Sus scrofa: one gene and its partners. Each later gene encodes a partner of the first gene's protein in a complex. Links are inferred from orthologs where the notes say so. Each region holds a gene or a part of one and is shown in the gene's direction. Other genes may lie near its edges.

Region 1 (3,699 bases):
GCTTCTGCAGCGCTGGGACCTCCGGGTTTGGGGGAAGCTGCTTGGACAGGGAGTCTGCAAGGTCTGCCCAAATTGGGGGAAGCTGGTGATGAGGGATGGGGAAGAGGGGCCCTTCTCCGAGCGCCAGTCGCTACGTGAGTAGCCCCCCCCAACCCCCGGTAAAAACACTTGGCCAGATTCAATGCTCCGTGGGCTCAGACGCCCCCGTCAGGCCCTAGACGTAAGATTTGAGCTGAGACCAACGACCCCGCCGAAGCTGCCAGGCGTCCCGGGAGCGGTAGGAGCGCCTCCAGGAGCCACCTGCCCCTGCCCCTCCTCCCCGCAGCCGCTCCGATTTTCTACGGCCCCGGCTCCCCGCGTGTCTTCGGTGCTGACCTCGCGGGCTCCATCTTCCCTGAGGCTCGGCCCCCGGGCTGTCCCCTCCGCTCCCCGACCCCCTGCGGTGGGCTGCGCAGCGCAGGGAGAGCCTGGGGCGCGTGGGCGCACCCGTGAGCAACTTCGAGGGCCGAGGGGCCCGGTGCGGGGCTCGAGTTGGGCCCTGAGGACCCTGCCCCAGTCCGCAACGGGCCTCGACCCGCTTCTCCGCGGGATCTCTGTCTCCCTGAGGGCCCTGCTTATTCCTGGGAGAGTCCAGGCCGTCCACGGAGCAGCTTCCTCCCCCGGACCCCACAGCCGGCCCACCAAGACCCACAGGCCGCGGCCCACGCGGGCCACCAGGGCCGACACCGCCCTCCGCGCCGCTCCCGGAAGCCCCGCCCGGCCCGAGGCATCTGACAGGCGGGCCTCCCGGCCAATCGGGGCGGGGCGAAGAGGCTCTAGGGCGGGGCCCGGCAGGCGCAGCCAATGGCGGGCCGCGCCTGGTTGACGGACGGGGGCGAGGCGGGGCGTGCGCGGGCCCGGTCGAGAGTCCGCAGCCAGCTGCCGGAGCCGCACCCGCCGCGGACGGAGCCCATGCACTGGGCGAGCCGCGCGCCCTGGCCCCGGCCCCCGCCGCCGCCCCCGCCCCGGCCCCGGCCCCGGCCCCGGGGGCAGTCGCGCCAGTGAGCGGTGAGTGCGGCGGGGACCACGGGGGGCGGCGGGGGCCGGGCCGGACGGGGGCCCGCGGTTCTCGCTGGGCGCGCGGGCGCGCGGGGGCGCAGGTGAGCCGCGGGCGGCGGCGGGCGGGGCGCTGCGGCTGGGGCTGCAGGCGGCGGCTGGTACGCCCTGCCTCGCCCAGGCCAGCCCCTCCGACTCCAGGTCCCGGGCCCTGTCTTCTGGGGCCCCGCAAGCGCTCTCAGTCTGTTCTCTGACTGCTCCCCGAGCCGAGGCCCGCCCATGACCATGGCCCTGGGCAAAGTCTCTCCCCCTGCAGCGTTCCAAGGATCCCTGCGAAGAACTCGGGCACCCGGCGGCCATCACACACACCAGGCAAACCTAGAGTTTAGGAAGTCACTGCCCTCTGTCCCCGCAGGGTACCTACCCTGTCTAAACATCTCCAGCTGGGGCTGGGGGGCCTTGGCCCCAGGCCCTTTTTTTCCCTTCTCGCTTGTTCCCTTGTGCCACACAAGGTCTTTTCCTGTTGATCAGCTCCTGCTTCCTGGAGCCCTGGCCCCTGCCGGCCTCTTCACCTGCCTTGGTTTATGTTCCCCAAAGTTCTTATGCCGAGAGGGCGCCGCAGGTTTCCCTTTATTTTCACTTATGTGAGTCTGGCTTGGAGCGTGGCCTGAGCTTGTCGGTAGGGGTTCCTCCCGACTGCCTGTCACCCTGTGCCTGGAACAGCACCTGGCATGCAGTAGGCACTCAGTGAATACTTGTCAAATGCACCAGCATGCCCGGAGGGGCCTGGAGCTGGTTGTTGGCTGCCACAGGCCTGTCTGGGCATGCTGCCTGGCCCGCCACTGTGGCAAGACCTGTTCTCATGGGGGGCGCTTGTAACCTCAGCCCGCGGTGCCTCCAGTTCAGGCTTTTTGCCTATCCAGCACCTTCTAATTCGGGTGCGTGCCTGGGAGATGCTCCCTCCTGTCAGCCCTGCCTCTGGGGCCGGCTCCCTGCTTCTCTCCCGCAGTCATTAAGTGCAGCTGGAGGTGCCACAGGTGCGCCGCGGGGCCGCGGTTGTGGCTGCGACCCCTGTTACCTGGATGTACGGGCCCTGGGAGCTCAGCGGGCCTGTCTTGCATGGTCTGGCCACGCTGAATGCTGCTTCCTCCACTGCAGTCCTGTGCTGTGGCCTCCTGAGGAGCGATGACGGAGTATAAGCTGGTGGTGGTGGGCGCTGGAGGTGTGGGGAAGAGTGCCCTGACCATCCAGCTTATCCAGAACCACTTTGTGGATGAGTACGACCCCACCATAGAGGTGAGCCTCCAGCCCGCATCCCGATGTGGGCTTGTCTTCTGCCCGCTCTGCAGGACGGGTTCCCCTCGTCACAGGTCCTGGGCGGGCACGAGAGGAGCGCGGGAGGGGCTGGTGGTGTGAACAGCCCATCCCGGGCGGGCCAGAGGTCCCTAAGTGGTGTCCCCCCCTCAGGACTCCTACCGGAAGCAAGTGGTCATTGACGGGGAGACGTGCCTGCTGGACATCCTGGACACCGCGGGCCAGGAGGAGTACAGTGCCATGCGGGACCAGTACATGCGCACCGGGGAGGGCTTCCTCTGCGTGTTCGCCATCAACAACACCAAATCTTTCGAGGATATCCACCAGTACAGGTGAGCTGCCCGCGGGCCTCGCTTGGGGGCCCAGAGCACGCCGGCACCCTGCCCGCTGGCTCACACCTCCCCTTGCAGGGAGCAGATCAAGCGGGTGAAGGACTCGGACGACGTGCCCATGGTGCTGGTGGGGAACAAGTGTGACCTGGCCGCGCGCACCGTGGAGTCTCGGCAGGCCCAGGACCTCGCTCGCAGCTATGGCATCCCTTACATCGAGACCTCAGCCAAGACCCGACAGGTGAGCCGGAGCCCCGCCCCCAGCCGGCCAGGGCCCCGCCCCGCCCCGCCCGCAGCAGCGCTCACCGCCCCTCTCCCTCGACACAGGGCAGCCGCTCTGGCTCTGGCTCCGGCTCCGGGACCCTCTGGGACCCTCCGGGACCCCCGTGACCCAGCAGCCCCTCCTGCTGTAAGTGTCCCCGGATGGAAGGGGGGAGGTGGAGGTCCCCGGAGAGAGCTGCCCTGAGCCAGGCCGGAGCGGTGACCCTGGGGGCCCCCCCCGGGGGGGGCAGTCCCCTGTCGGCCCTGACCCCTTCGTGGGCTGTGGGGGAGCTGCTGAGGAAGAGGCCTCCTGACCGGTGGCCCTGGGGCCCCTGCTCCCCGAGTGTGGGCCAGGGGCGGGGCGGCGCCGCGGCGGGGCGGCCCTGAGCCCGCGCTCTCGTCCCAGGGGGTGGAGGACGCCTTCTACACGCTGGTGCGCGAGATCCGGCAGCACAAGGTGCGCAAGCTGAGCCCGCCCGACGAGGGCGGCCCCGGCTGCCTGAGCTGCAAGTGCCTGCTCTCCTGACACCGCCGCTGCCCCGTCTGCGGACCTTCTGCGGGGCCTCCATGCAGCTGGGCGCTGGGGCGCAGAGGTGGCGGATGCGGGGAGGAGGCGCACGCGGAGGAAGGAGGAAGGAGGAAGGAAGGAAGTGCCGCCGGCGCCCGGCCAGCCCCGGTCGGCGGCCACAGTGGCCGCAGGCCTCCCAGGACGCTTTGCACGGACTGTCGTGGACTGACGCCACTGGCACCCCAGCTGTCA
Region 2 (3,647 bases), on another chromosome or scaffold:
AAATAGTCTAAACCTTCAGTGACTTACAGTCCATGTTTTTGCCTCTGTTGCTGATTAGAGACCATCTCTTGGGGCAGAATGACATACCTGGCCCCAGTTCCACCCATTAAGGCCATGTCTTTGTTGCAGTGCCTGGAGCAGCAGCAGCTGGCATGGGCGGATCAAAGGAGGAATGAAGGGCTTTCAGAGCTTCATGGTTTCAGACAGCAACATGAGTTTTGTGGAATTTGTCGAGCTGTTCAAATCATTCAGGTATGGCTGGCTTTCTTCTTAGCTTTTCTCTTCCTACCCTCACCTTGTTATAACAATGCTAAAGATGTTTTCCATCCTGTGTCCAGTGTGAGGAGCCGCAAGGACCTGAAGGATCTCTTTGACATCTACGCCGTGCCCTGCGACCGAGCTGGCTCTGAGCCGGCCCCCCTCTACACCAACCTGACCATTGATGAAAACACCAGCGGTCTTCAGCCTGATCTAGGTTTGTGTGACAGTTTAATAATTCCTTTGGAGAACATTCTATCTAAAAATGAAGGTTAGAGACAGATTAAAGACAAATATCATATGATATCACTTATATGTGGAATCTAAAAAAAGTGATACAGGAGTTCCTTTGTGGTGCAGTGGGTTAAGGATCCAGCATTGTTACTGCAGTGGCTCAGGCCACTGCTGTGGCGTGGGTTCGATCCCTGACCCGGGAACTTCCACATGCTGCAGCCACAATTAATTAATTAATTATTAATTAAAATCTAAATAATACAAGGGAACCTATTTACAAAACCAAAACAGACTCACAGACCTAGAAAACAAACTTAGGGTTTCCAAAGGAGAAAAGGGGTAGGGGAGAGATAAATTAGGAGTTGGGGATTAGCATATACACACTACTATATATAAAATATAAAACCAACAGGGGCCTATTGTATAGCACTGGAAACCATATTCAATATCTTGTAATAACCTATAATGGAAAAGAATAGATATATGTATATAGCTGAATCACTTCGCTATACACGTGAAACTAACGCAACATTGTAAATCAACTACACTTTAATTACAAATTAAATAAAAGGGAAAAAGTGAAGGTTATTGATCCTATCACACAACTCCTTAGCCTCTCTCACATGGGATACTGCTGCCTGGAGCATGGTGAAATGCTTAGAGAATTATTTCTCTAACGGTGGTATTATGAAGATGAGTATGTACTATTAGCACTTTGGACAAGGAAATTCATCATTGTGTGAATCTGTCCATGGATTCCAGAATATTTAGCCAGTAGAGCCTTCCAGTTATTCTGACAGCTAAAAACCCTTTCCCACCCATTCCCAAATGTCCAGGAGGTGTGTGGGACATCCCAGTTGCAAACTACCTGTCTCTTCCCTGCCTCCAGGCAGCTGGGTGCTCAGCCCGTCCATCCTTTGCAGGAGAGTGTTTAGTGACCTCAGCAGAGCCCTACTGTCTGACCATCCAGGACATTTTTCCTAATATGTCAACCAGAATGTCTAATTCCTGTGTCCCACTCACACCACCACCATTACCATCACCACCCATGCATTTGAAGCCTATTATTTTTCTTCTGTTCTTGCTGGAAACTGTAAACAGTAGAAAAGAAAAAAGAAAAACTGCTCTCTTTCACACATCTGCTTTTTAACTATTTAAAAACATATTATCCATTAGCTAAGAATATTAACCTTTTTCAATTTTAGTCATAAATGTGTATAACTATGATTAGTCAAGTGGTTACACTCTTTGAAAAACAAATAGATTTTATTTTTTTAGGACAATTTCAGGTTTACTGAAAAATGAGCAGAGAGCTCCCATACACACTCTCTCCACACACATGTGGTTTCCTCTGTTTAGTAGTAGCTTGCATTAGTGTGGTGTATTTGTTACAGTTTAGCCAATAGTGATATATAAATTAACTGAAGCTGATAATTTATATTAGTGTTCACTGTTTGTGTTGTACATTCTATGGGTTTTGACAAAAGTATAATGACATATATCTACCATGGCAGTAGATACATACAGAATAGTTTCTGAAAAATCTTCTGTGTTTCATATGTTCATTGTGCCCACTCTCCTTCTGAATCCCTGGCCACCACTGATCTCTTTTCTGTCTCCATAGTTTTGCCTTTCCCAGAATGACAAATAGTTGGAATCATACAGTATGCAGCCTTTTCACACTTGCTCCTTTCATTTAACAATGTGGATTTAAGGTTCCTCAGTGTCTTCTCATGGCTTCACAGATCATATATTTTTATTGCCTAATAATATTTCATTACAATTTCATTGTATATTATCATAGTTTGTTTATCCATTCACCTACCGAAGGACACCTTGATTGCTTCCAGGTTTTAACAATTGTGAATAAAGCTGCTATAAATACTAGGAGTACAGTTTTTTTAGTGTGGACCTGTTTTCAGCTCTTTTGGATAAACACCTAGAAACATAATTGCCAGATCTTATGATAAGTCTATACTTAGTTCTGCAAGAAACTGACAGACTTTCCTCAGAGTGGCAAGAATTAGAATGGCCATGTGCTAAAGTGGGTGCAGATGTGGAGCGGCTGTGGCATTACTGGTGGGAATGTAAAAGGGTATCGCCACTTTGGAAGGAAATTTGTTAATTTCTTTCAAACTAAAAGCACTCTTACCACATGATCCTGCAGTGGTACTCCTTGGTATTTTCTCAAATGAGTTGAAAATTTATATTCCCACAGATACCTGCACACAAATGTTTACAGTTACGCTTTTAAATTAGAGAAAAACTGTAATCTTAAGGGTACGTCTTCCATCTCTGTAAACATAAAAATGTAGATGTAGTTATTCTCAAAAACCAAAGCCTGGGAGTTCTCATTGTGGCTCAATGGAAACAATCTGACTAGTATCCATGAGCGTGCAGGTTGGATCCCTGGCTTCTCTTAGTGGGTTGGGGATCCTGTGTTGCTGTGATCTGTGGTGTAGGTCGCAGATGCAGCTCAGGTCTGGCATTGCTGTATCTGTGGCATAGGCCAGCGGCTGTAGCTCCGATTTGACCCCTAGCCTGGGAACTTCCATATGCCGCAGGTGTGGCCCTAAAAAGAAGGAAAAAAAAAACCCAAAGCCTGAATTCAGCCTAAAGTCCCTAATTGAATTTACATTTAGTTTCTATCTAATGCCAAAGGTTATGGTCTTTCAAGATCATTCATCTAGCTCTTGTCTCTTTTTTTTCATTTATTCATTTTTTATTCTTTGACTCTGTGAAGACAGGAAGAAGCAATAAGCTTGATGGCTTGTTTAGACAGATTAGTGAAGGGTCTCTCCAGCTTAGTAATCCCATAGCAACATTATATCCAAAATGAACTTTATGAAAGATGCTAGCTAGTTTGTCCATGTTCTGTGGGTGGTTCTATTTCAGATTTGTTGACCAGAAATGTCTCGGATTTGGGATTATTCATTAAGAGTAAACAGCAGCTGTCTGACAACCAGAGGCAAATATCTGATGCCATTGCTGCTGCAAGTATCGTGACAAACGGCACTGGGGTGGAGAGCACATCCCTGGGCGTATTTGGGATTGGCATCCTCCAGCTCAATGACTTCCTAGTGAATTGCCAAGGAGAACACTGCACTTATGATGAAATTCTCAGCATCATCCAGGTTTGTACCTGTTTTACATGT
Region 3 (3,647 bases), on another chromosome or scaffold:
ATTATGGTCCCTGTCCTCGTGTAGCTTACAGCCTAAATCCTTAAGTACATGTTGTAGGAGGTGGAAAGCATGTTTCCTGTGGCAGTCCCGTGGGAGTTCCCTGTCAGAACTGATACTGATGAAGGATTTGTTGAGTGATTCATACAGACTTCTCATTGTACGAGGTCATAGTGTACTAATAGAGAAGATAGCTGCACGTGGTGCGGTGTTTGGGGGCTTCCGTCATTCGTATATTTAGGGAATGGGTAAGTGCCTTCAAAAGTGTTTGCCCCCAACTCTTTTCTTCATAAGAGGTGATGGAGCAGGTCCATTTTCCCAAAAAAGATTCTGTGCAAGATACTCCAGTATACTTTTGCTGCTTTGCCCTTTGACTTTTTGGTGCCAGAGCATCCATTAAATGGGTGATTTCTCACCGAAGGCCTTGATTTTGCAAGGGTGAACTAATCAATATGAAGTTGAAAATACCTGCCCCTTTGCTGGTGACTAGTTGCCTTACTTGCATAAGAGATGTTTATAGTGATTGCTACCAGATGTTTGTAACTCTGTTGATCTGTGATTCTCTGGTTCTGTTAGAAAACACATACTGTCTATGGTTGTTTACATCTCTTTCTGCTTGTATAAGAAGTTCTGATTTTTACAAGTGAAACTTACATGCTCCCCTTTTTTTCTGTAGTTTTTTTTTCTGATTAAAACACTTAAAGTAGTGGGCTGACATTAATGTTTCTGAGACTAAGTGTCTCAGAACTTTGACACTTAGAATCTGATAATGTTAGGAGATATACTAGGTCTATATTAGGGTATAAACTTTTTGACTCAGGCATAACCTTATTCACTTTTGTATTTCCTATTAGCTTCAGTGTAAAATAAGCACTTAGTGAATATTTAAGGGAAAAAAGGTTAATATAATTCCCTTGATTAGAGATGCTTCTCAGTTAAATTTTTTTTTTTTTTTTTTTTTTTTGTCTTTTTAGGGCCACACCCACGGCATATGGAAGTTCCCAGGCTAGGGGTTAGAATCAGAGCTGCAGCTTCCAGCCTACACCACAGCCACAGCAATGCCAGATCCAAACCGCATCTGCGACCTACACTACAGCTCATGGCAATGCCGCATCCTTAACCCACTGAGCGAGCCCAGAGGTCGAACCTGTGTCCTCATGGATATTAGTCGGATTTGTTACCACTGAGCCACATCGGGAATTTCTAAACTTCCTCTTAATTGCAGTATCTTTAAGATCCCCCGAGTGATGTCAATACAGTGATATGTTGCCAGACAAATTTTTAAAACCTCAGTTAGTTATAATGGTTTTTTAGCTAGATTTCCCTCTATGTTCCATTTCTAGAAGAAACAAATAATAAGAAAACCTGGTGCTTTAGGTCTTCCTAAAAATGGCTGTCTTCTAGGACTGTTCCTAGGAATGTATTCAGTCCAGCTTTCCCACTCCTTGCACTTCCTAATGGTTTTAGAGGAAGAGGGAGGTGACCCAGATGACCTGCGGAGTCCTCTGTTACAGAGGAAGCACACACTTATTTTATTGCTCTGAACTTATGAGAGAAGGATAAATTGTTGATATATTTTAGGATTACTTTAAACAAGTATTGAAAACTGAAATTGGTAATGATGTTTTTACAATTATCATCATTATTAATAGCAGCTAATTTTAAATCAGGTACTCTTTTGAGCATTTTACCTGCATAATTTTATATATATCCTTTTATCCCTGCAACCCTCGTTTTATAAATGAAGAAAGAGAAAGAGGGTCAATGAGGTTAAGGTTATTTTGACCAAGATCGCATAGTTAGCAAGTGATAGGGCGAGGATTTGAACCTAGTTCTGCCTAAAAGGCCTTAGGTTCTTAACTACGCTTTTGGAATATTATCTTTGCTGAGTATTCCCATTTAACTGAGGAGGTACCATTTTGTTCCCAGAATAAACATCATTACAGTTTTAACAGGATTCAGGAAGCAGTTCTTATAATTAGATTTCTAAAATAAGAAATTAATCTAGTAGCAGACAAGTTTGATTAATAAGTTTGATTTTAAAAGCACAGTACTCTCTTAAACCAGAAGAAAGGAAAATATATTTATTGGACAAAATGACTTCGGTGGTACATTTTTGTAAAATTCCTGGTAATCCAGAAGGCATTGTCTGTGCCCTTTTAGACATTTCACAACCATGTGGCAGGAGGGGCAGATGTAAACTGAAGGCATACAGTTTTATGCTTTAACACGTCATCTGAGGAAAATACATCTTGTTCCCCTATGACCTTATAAAGTAATGAGTTTGCATGGGAATGAAGGGAGAAAGAAAGGAAATTTTATTGTTTTCACAGTAGTTATGTGCTGTGAGTGGCCTAAGGAGTTACTGCTATTTGTTTTGTAAAAGAGCAAGCCATCCTCTCTGATAACATACCTTGGAGATCTCATTGACTAGAGCAGTAGCCTCTAGTGCTTATAAGGATTTCCTTTCAGCTTAGACTTAATCCTTTTAAGCTCCTAGATACAGGGATAAATGTTGATTTTCAAAGTAGCATTTTACCACATTGAATTTGTTTGAAAAATGATTCAGTCCTTTTCTGCCTTATTCTTAAATGTTGCTGTGTGCATCATGTTTCTAGGTAGGTGAGCCTGTGAAACAATATGAAGAGGAGAAAATAGCCTTTTAAGAAAATTGGCCCACAAAAAGGATGGCCTTCTTGGACAATCCAACTATCATTCTAGCTCATATTCGACAGTCACATGTGACCAGTGATGACACAGGAATGTGTGAGATGGTTCTCATTGATCATGATGTTGACCTAGAGAAGATTCATCCTCCTTCAGTGCCTGGAGACAGTGGGTCAGAAATTCAGGGAAGCAATGGTGAGACTCAGGGCTATGTATATGCCCAGTCAGTCGATATTACCTCAAGTTGGGACTTTGGTATTAGAAGACGCTCAAATACAGGTAAACATTGCCTTTTAGTCGTGTTTTCTGACCTTTAAATCAGTAAACAATCTTACAGAATAATGTATAATATTGGAAGAAGTTTAATGGGGAACATACATGTATTGTGCTAACAGTAATTCTAAGCAATGTCTCCATCTCTGCCACTGTGAATGAAGAAAGCCTCTGGAATGATTTATTAGAAGGAAGTAGACAGCAGAGGAATTAGGAAGTAGATAGAGGAAGAATAGGTGGGAAAGTTGCATGTTGTGTTTCTGAGCAGTCACCATGTAGAGAGAAGTGGATCGTTTTGGGTTATCTTCACAGAGTGACAGACTACCTGGAGGCAGATTTCGGGCTGACATGATAAAGATCCCTTAGTAGACCAGCCAAAGAGTATCGCTGCCCAAGACTGTGTAAGTCGCTGGAGGAATTGTAGGGAGATGGGGAATTGGAGGGAGACAGCTGAATGTTTGTTAGGGCTGGTTTTAGTAGGAAGTCCCACCTTGGGTGTGAGATTAGAAAAGATACTTCTGCTTTTGATATAGTACTTTCTTTTCTTTTTTTCTTTCTTTCTTTCTTTTTTTTTTTTTTTTTTCTTTTTAGGGCCCCACCAGTGGCATTTGGAGGTTCCCAGGCTAGGGGTCAAATCGGAGCTACAGCTGCCGGCCTTTGCCACAGCCACAGCCACGCCAGATCCGAGCCACATCTGTGACCTACACCAC

Evidence for each region.
Region 2: the proteins of HRAS (region 1) and PLCE1 are in contact, whole or in part, in a crystal structure (PDB 2C5L), measured with the Homo sapiens proteins. The link is inferred for Sus scrofa from reciprocal best matches to the Homo sapiens genes HRAS and PLCE1. Residues at the interface, in NP_001123914.1 of Homo sapiens: Ile24, Gln25, His27, Val29, Glu31, Asp33, Ile36, Glu37, Asp38, Ser39, Tyr40, Arg41, Glu63, Tyr64; in NP_057425.3 of Homo sapiens: Phe2138, Pro2146, Glu2147, Gln2148, Pro2149, Arg2150, Thr2151, Val2152, Ile2153, Lys2154, Lys2171, Tyr2174, Ser2175.
Region 3: the proteins of HRAS (region 1) and MAPKAP1 are in contact, whole or in part, in a crystal structure (PDB 7VV8), measured with the Homo sapiens proteins. The link is inferred for Sus scrofa from reciprocal best matches to the Homo sapiens genes HRAS and MAPKAP1. Residues at the interface, in NP_001123914.1 of Homo sapiens: Gln25, Asp33, Ile36, Glu37, Asp38, Ser39, Tyr40, Arg41, Leu56, Glu63, Tyr64, Met67; in NP_001006618.1 of Homo sapiens: Glu277, Ser278, Phe280, Ala286, His287, Gly288, Phe289, Ser290, Leu291, Ile292, Gln293, Arg311, Arg312, Lys313.

The regions. Positions count from the first base shown.
Region 1 is NC_010444.4:299,732-303,430, reverse strand, and holds the start of HRAS (GTPase HRas), read left to right. Parts: upstream 1-891; 5' UTR 892-1,047; intron 1,048-2,193; 5' UTR 2,194-2,220; coding exon 2,221-2,331; intron 2,332-2,502; coding exon 2,503-2,681; intron 2,682-2,759; coding exon 2,760-2,919; intron 2,920-3,005; coding exon of another isoform or gene 3,006-3,068; exon of another isoform or gene 3,069-3,087; intron 3,088-3,345; coding exon 3,346-3,465; 3' UTR 3,466-3,699. UniProt on the Homo sapiens protein: Involved in the activation of Ras protein signal transduction. Ras proteins bind GDP/GTP and possess intrinsic GTPase activity.
Region 2 is NC_010456.5:105,698,544-105,702,190, forward strand, and holds part of PLCE1 (1-phosphatidylinositol 4,5-bisphosphate phosphodiesterase epsilon-1), read left to right. Parts: intron 1-129; coding exon 130-252; intron 253-338; coding exon 339-475; intron 476-3,387; coding exon 3,388-3,626; intron 3,627-3,647. UniProt on the Homo sapiens protein: The production of the second messenger molecules diacylglycerol (DAG) and inositol 1,4,5-trisphosphate (IP3) is mediated by activated phosphatidylinositol-specific phospholipase C enzymes.
Region 3 is NC_010443.5:266,311,673-266,315,319, reverse strand, and holds part of MAPKAP1 (target of rapamycin complex 2 subunit MAPKAP1), read left to right. Parts: intron 1-2,615; 5' UTR 2,616-2,684; coding exon 2,685-2,943; intron 2,944-3,647. UniProt on the Homo sapiens protein: Component of the mechanistic target of rapamycin complex 2 (mTORC2), which transduces signals from growth factors to pathways involved in proliferation, cytoskeletal organization, lipogenesis and anabolic output.